2 linked regions of the Danio rerio genome follow. The protein of the gene in region 1 purifies or fractionates together with the protein of each later gene. This does not show direct contact. Links are inferred from orthologs where the notes say so. Each region holds a gene or a part of one and is shown on either strand. Other genes may lie near its edges.

The links.
Region 2: the proteins of cdyl (region 1) and mier1a purify together in Homo sapiens (co-immunoprecipitation; 3 studies listed by BioGRID and IntAct, counting the BioPlex papers as one, with this or other methods). This does not show direct contact. The link is inferred for Danio rerio from reciprocal best matches to the Homo sapiens genes CDYL and MIER1.

What each region holds. Positions count from the first base shown.
Region 1 is NC_133177.1:26,961,364-26,965,201, forward strand, and holds part of cdyl (chromodomain Y-like protein), read right to left. Parts: intron 965-3,838; coding exon 754-964; intron 1-753.
Region 2 is NC_133181.1:37,372,308-37,376,245, reverse strand, and holds the start of mier1a (mesoderm induction early response protein 1a), read left to right. Parts: upstream 1-1,158; 5' UTR 1,159-1,197; coding exon 1,198-1,206; intron 1,207-1,625; coding exon 1,626-1,653; intron 1,654-2,466; coding exon 2,467-2,618; intron 2,619-2,734; coding exon 2,735-2,854; intron 2,855-3,938. UniProt on the Homo sapiens protein: Transcriptional repressor regulating the expression of a number of genes including SP1 target genes. Probably functions through recruitment of HDAC1 a histone deacetylase involved in chromatin silencing.

The sequences.
Region 1 (3,838 bases):
AAGGCTGATTTATACTTCTGCATTAACTTCTGCTCTGCAATAACCCTTTCAAAACAGTAGCTGGCAGTAGATTTATATGTTCCTCTGCGTCGTGTTTCTTTGCTGGTGTTTTGTTTTTTCTGAACGCTACCTTAATGTATAAGTACCTAAAGCTCGCACATTCAGAGGCAGGAACCAGTGGATGTGCAACAACTTTAATCATAAGATAAACACAAAACAGTTTCCATCTAGAGCTACTTTATGGGACTTGACACTTGTAAACACTCGCTCCAATGGATTCACGCTGCTCTCGGTTCTGCCCACACTGGTCACAGCTACCAAGTCGACCAATCACAGAGTCAATCACGCGTCGAGTAGTTACATTTTTTGAGAAGTGATGTCAGCATCAGCCACAGTGAGGGCTATGCGACCGCATGAAGGCTGCGCAGGAACATATGCGTGCGCTTGATGCAGAAGTATAAATCAGCCTTTAACCTTTCACTGGGCCTTCTAAACTTTTCAATTACAAAGTGGTCAAATTTTCCCCCATGTATTTTACATGGCAAATAAATACCTATTACATCAGAGTAAGGCCAAGAGATCAACATATCATATAAATTATATCTCTAGCTAGTATCAGATTAAGGCTTGATAATAAATTAATGAATGAATGCATACGACAAACAATAAATACTATACATGATGTGCTCAATTCAAATAAGTTAAATATTCAAGTGTAAAAAAAAACAAAAAAAAAAACTTAAATGTACTGACCGATGCAACTCCCATGATGAGAGGGAATGTAACAGACGAGCAGGCATCTGGGGTTTGGCCAAAGGTTGTATAAGGAGTCTGAAACCAAGCTTTCTCATTGGCCCAGATCACGTCGCACAGGGGCAAGATAGATGCTCCAAGACCAATGGCAGGCCCATTCACAGCAGCAATGATGGGCTTCTTGAACTGGATGAATGTGTTGACGAAAGTTCTGAAGATAACAGAAAATACACTGAATTCTCTCACTGAAATATGATCAAAAGACACATATTTAGTACACTTCTAATCAACCCATCACATGATTGATGCATTTAGGCATGATCAATCTCTGCTGAAGTTCAAACTGAGCATTAGAATGAGAAAGAAATGTGATTTAAAGTCTGCATGACCTGGAAGTTGCTGAGTAGGGATGGGAAGATTAACCGATATGTATCGATACGCGGTCATGCGCGTGCACGATGCGAGTGCATCGGTTGAGCAGCAGAGGATGAATGAAATTTTGGAAGCAAATCGAGATGCATCAGTTTTTGCGAGATGCATCGATTTTTCCGAGATACAGCTTATATTTTCAATATAGAATGTATTTTTTATTTATTAACAAGTGTTGTCAACCTGTTTTGGCGCATAATTTAATCGACCTACATAAAGTAAGCCTTAGCAACGGATTTGCGGATGTGCACACACTACAACTCAGTGTATCAGGTGTGCGGATGAAGCTAGTGGAGCGCCCTCAGAAAGTGCGAGAAGCAAAACAAACATTTTATTCCCCACTGAGTTTTAAATCTAAAGTATGGCAACATTATGGATTTAAGGATGGACGACATGACAGGACAGATGCAATTTGCAAAATGTGCCGCGCATCTGTAAAATACGCGGGCAGTACGACTAATCTGATATCTCACTTGAAGCGGCGCCTCGGTGTTGTTGTGAAAGCATCTTCTAGTGTTTCTGCATCCCCGGCTTTCGCACTGCTTCAACCAGCTCCAAAAGTGGTGAGAAAAGCATTGAAAGTTTTTTTTTCCATGCGCAACAGTTCTGCTCGCTCTACGCCAATAACGAATGCTATTGCATTGTTCATCTGCACAGATATTCAGCCTAGTGTCACGGAGAACGAAGGTTTTAAACACCTCCTCCTGTTAATTTTTATTTAATTATATTAATATTAATAATAATAATGATAAAAATAATTGGGTGTCACGGTGGCACAGTGGGTAGTTTGACCACCTCACAGCAAGAAAATTGCTGGTTTGTTATATTTTTATTAGCCTGTTGTTTACAGTGACAGTGATGTTTCAAAGCAGCATAACACTGCTAGTTCACGACCTTAAGTTTTGAATAATCAGTGGCAAAATATATCTTTGTAAAACTTGTTTTCATAGTTGAAAAGTTAAATCACAATTCTTGTTGTGCAATGCTAAATTTATTTATGTTGAAAGAGTGCAAATATATATATATATATATATATATATATATATATATATATATATGTATGTATATATATATATATATATATATATATATATATATATATATTGCACTTATACATTCTGTTTATCTTGAAAATACTTAAATAATATGTGCTATATGTTCTAAAATGGCCCTCTACTGTAAACTGACACTCTGGCTCTGAGAGAAGAGCCAGTTTGTAAAAAAGTCTTGGTTTTGCTTGGTTAATAAATAATCAAACTCATTCAATGGCACAGCATCCTCTTTCACATCATCTCATAAACTTGATCTAATTAGTTAAGTGCTGAAATATCGCATCGTATCGTGATATGGGTGTGAATCGTATCGTGTTGCATCGCAATATGTCATAAATGTATCGCTAATATATCGGATCGTATTCTTTGTATCGAGATGCGTATCGGATCGGCATTATAGCTTAGATGCCCAACCCTATTGCTGAGACTTTTATTTCAGTATGTTGATGTACATCCCAACTGAAAAAGACTATTGATTTGGGGTGGGGCTATGTTTCTGCACATCATTCCCTCATAGCAAACTAACGGTAAGAGGGGTATGGTTAAGAATACTGTGGCTGAAGCAGTCAAACTGACATCAGCAGAGAAGAATTATAACCACAAACCAGAAGCAGATGGTCAGACTTTGATTGATCACAGTAATTTGCACAGATTAACTGTTCACCTAAATAATGACAAAGTGTTCAAGCTAAATAAACATAGTAAATTTTGATGTCACACTGACTTTAAGCAACTTGGTATGTGCCTGGATCAATGGAGTCAGACGGGCTGGTCCGGGTTTGAACAACCATCTTTAAAGATTGCAAATAATTGTCAGAAAATATCCAAATAACAGATGTTATGCTTAAGGGTTAATTTGCCTTGCAGAGGTCAAAGGAGAATGACCAGACTGGTTTGAACTGATTGTAAAGTGACATCAACTCAAATCATCGCTTATTACAAGTGAGGTCTGTAGATGAGCATCTTTGAACGCAAAACACACTGAACCTTGAAGCAGATGAGCTACAGCAGCAGAAAATGAGTGCACACAGATGACACTCCTGTCAGATGACAACAGGCTCGGCAAATTCATTTTGACAGACCAGCAAGTTTTTGCTGAAGTAGATTACAGTGCTGAGATCACTTAAATCAGGGGTCTCAAACTTGTGGCCCGCGGGCCATTTGCGGCCCTCAGTGCAATATTTTGTGGCCCCTGCCGACCGCTGTACACTGACAGAATCAGCGAAGCGGGGAGAGAGAGCGCTCGCCGCTCCGCTGATTCTATCCGTACACAGCGGTCACTGGCATTCCCCGCCCGCCGTGTAAACAAAGGGGCGGGGATGCCGGTGACGTCACCATGCACCCCGCCCCTTTGTTAGACGCTGTAACGGGCGGGAAGTGTTAGGAGGGAACTCGCGCCAGCCAGAACCAAGGTAAGCTGTTCCCGCCCCTGCCTGCCACTTCTGCCACAGCTACCTATCTGCAGCCTGCCACCTACCTAACTACAGCCCGCATCTTATATATATTATAAGTAGATACAGACTGGTACAGACTGATGGGACTGGAGTGGGTTGGGGGTGTTTTATTTATACATATATACGCCTTTTTTTAGGTGAGGGCAGGCA
Region 2 (3,938 bases), on another chromosome or scaffold:
ATAATTATAATTTGTCTTTTAAGCTGTCATATGGTCCTGTTACAAACACCATTCAAATGACACAATGTGCCTCATCTAAAATGGGGCATGTTGTCACATTCTATGTTAATTTCTCAGTAAATACAGCTCATATATTTTGGCGTATTTGAACAAAACAAATTCATTAAATAGATATATTAATCAAATGAATATATTAGTCACTGGTTGTCTTTAGAAATGGAGAGTTAATACATTTAAATTCATGCAAAATATTGAAAAAACAAAATAAATACAAACTAAAAAAAATTCAACTAAATTTTATATCTTTTTTATTTTTTTATTTTTCCTCTTTTTAATGTAATATTTTTTCTAACATAAATTGGGGTGTACTCATTTTTAGACTGTTATCATAAGTTATTTTATTAGATTAGCTCGCGATTTGGCTTCAGTACTGACTCATCTAATGTATATACACAAATATAATATTGTAAAGCAACATATATTGGAAATATGAATTTAAATGATATATTTGTAAGGGGTAGTACTCATGCTGAGCACTGTAGGTAATGAAAAAGTATACAATGTAACTATGAAACAAAACCATATATTTGTACTAGGTGTGTACTTATTTTTTAAATACATGTAAAATAAATTTGTAAAATAAATGCTATATTATGAACCCCATGTGGATTCACATAAACTGCTACATCAACCAAAATAAATATATATATATATTTAAATATTTTTCTGGTTTCTGTTCTAGTGTGTTTTGCTATTATAACAACTATTAGCATTAATAAAATAATCATTTGAAGAGAGCAGCATAGCCCCGTGAGATCTCATTTTTAAGGGGTGTCCCTTATAAGAAATTCACACAATTTATAAGTATTATTCATTAGTTATAAAAAACAATTATGAGGGAAACAAAGGGTCCAGTACCTAACCTCCATTTTAAAAGGTAAAACTCTGTAAACTTCTGAAAAATATCCAAGTATTATTTGCTATTTAACTTATTGGTAATATTTATACAACAAAATTAATTAATACTGCTAAATATATATTCTGGAAAATAGTTTTTTTTTCAGATATTAGCTGTGTTCATGTGATGGTGGAACTTTTATTTTGTAGTGTTTGCAACTCTACTGCAGCTGTTCTCCTCTTCAGAGTTGAGAATTAAACAATTGTTATTGCTGGCTTCACGCAGAACCTACATCAACTATGGCGGAGGTAAGAAACATTACAAATTGCAGCAAATAACGCGTCTGAGAGAATCGCGTAATGTTTAAATCAACGTATCTTAATTTTTCATTTTAGTCTATTGAACCATTACGTATTTCTTAACATTCGAGCTCTGAATAATTAGCAAACAGTTTAAGGCGCCCAATTTGAATGTGTTAGCAGCTAGCAGCTAACTTGTTGCCTGAGCGCCAAACTCACATCCAGGTTAACTTATTCTTCTATTTTTACTATTTAACACAAACATTGTGTAGTCAGTTGTAAGTAAAGATACCCGGTTATTTTTCAGAGTCTTTATATTAACAAGAGGTTTTATGTACGTTAATACGTCTTTTCTCTCATTGTTTTTGTTTTTAAAATGTGTTGTTTTATCGTAGCGCTTCAAATGTTGTTTATTCATTTTTTTTCAGCCCTCCTTAAGTGCTTCAGGCTCAGAAGGTAACGTAGATTTATGATCATGTTGGCTGTGCTTCAAAGCTTTTCTTGTGTGTGTGTGTTTGTGTGTGTGTGTGTGTGTGTGTGTGTGTATGTATACATATACATACACACACACACACACACACACAAATATGCATACTTAAACATGCATAAAGATATGTACTGTATTTACACAACTGGTCAGTAGTAAGGGGTCAGTTTTTATTTCATTTATTTTTTATTGTTATTTATTATTCTGTAGATCAAGGCGGGATTTATTAAATGTAAAAAAACAATTTTATATTTATTAAAATTTTAAATTATTACTTTCTTATTGTATGTAGTTTCAAATGAAATTATTACTCCTTTTATTGTTGCTTTCATTGCTATTACATTAATAATAATAATTAATAATAGAGTGATTTCTTAAGGATCACGTGCCTCTGAAGACTGTAGACTATATATAAACACACATGGATACATGAGTATAAATATAATAAAACATTTTTGAACATGTTAAGTTTTCTCTGTTTGAGTTTTTATTATGTAAACAATGCCAGTGTTTATCTTTAGAGCGGTTAAGAAATCCATATTTGTTGGAATAACTCTGATATTCAGTCACAACAAATAAAAACATTTCATTTGATCCTTTGTCATTTTCAATTAGAAAGAAATATTAATAACTAATTATAACTAATAAATAATTAATATAGAATAAAACCATCATTATAAATAAATAATTACATTACTTATTAGTTTTATTATTATTATTACTGTTCTTTTTTAAAAGTGAATAGATAAAACTAATAATAATATATCTTTTTTATTAAATAGGAGCACATGCAGTGGTCCAGGATGAGGACAAAGACTTTGATCCTTCTGCAGACATGCTTGTGCATGATTTTGATGATGAGCAGACTCTGGAGGAGCAGGAAAAGCTGGAGGGAGAGACCAACTTCACCAATGAAATTGATGACCTCACTCGAGTATGGGGCATCTGTTGTTTTATTTTTTATCATTCACTACATGTGCTCATGATTAAGCCCTTTTAATAATCGACATGGGTCTAATTTCATTATGTGACTGCACTTCGTTTTGGTAGGAGGGTGAGATGCCCATCGAGGAGCTTCTGAAACTGTACGGCTACAGCAGTGGTGCCTCTCCAGAGGAAGAGGAGGAAGATGTGGAGGAGGAAGATTCCACAGAGAACGCTTGCAGCAAAGTAAACCCATTTATGAAAATATTTTATATGAAAATGATATTAAGTAATTTAATATATTGTGATATTAAATATGCACAATATTGATATTGGCACAACAATTATTTGTTTATTTTTTTTAGTAGTGCATAATAGTACGTTAATATTGAGTCTTAATTGTTTTATTAAATTAATTTGTAATTAATTGAATGTATTTTTAAAAAAATAATATCAGTGCTTCCTACATAGACTTTATTTGGGTGTGCTGCCTTGTTTTTTTTTACTATTATTATCATCCTTGTACATCTTTTTTTTTGTATCCACCCAATATAAACAAATATCCGCGAGCGATTAAGTAGTGAAAAATCTTCTCGTCTGTACCTGTGTCGTATCACTTGTTCTGTTTGTGCGAGACAGTCTCACATGCTCTGCAGACTATGCTTGAAACAACAGTATCTCTAGCAGAAAAGATCTGTTTTTGAAACAAATGATGACAGCAGAAGTCAATAATTAAATTTTATTATTTATTCAATGTTTTCTGCTCCAAAATACTTTAAATGTTTCTCACAATAAAATATATTCTGTTCAAACGGGAAAAAATATATATTTTTTTACCCAGGCATTTAAAAAGTATATATTTTAGAGCAGTAATCACAATACCAAGAAAATGTGATATTTTTATTCAAGATTATCATACCTTCAGAATCTAATGCTGGCCCATGCCTACTGCAGACTCACAGAGACCTGCAACTTTTCTAAATCTACTAAAATGTCCGGGATTTGGTTTTGCTTTCTAAGCTGTCGTTAATTTTATGCGCACAGTCACAAGAGAGATATTAAATAATAAATTATTTAATCTTAACGATTCAGAAGAACTTTGAACTTTCAGAAGAACTAAATACTCGGAGAGGACTACATTACATCTAAATTGGCTGCAGAATATATGTACACCTTTAAAATGGGTAATCAACTCATTTGCCTCATTTAAATAATCTACATGTTTTATTCTTGTAATTATTATAATTTATTTGTGATATTGTCTGTTTTTTCTGTCATTTATTTCTCATTTGCTATCAATTTTATTAATTTGATGTCAGTATATTACATA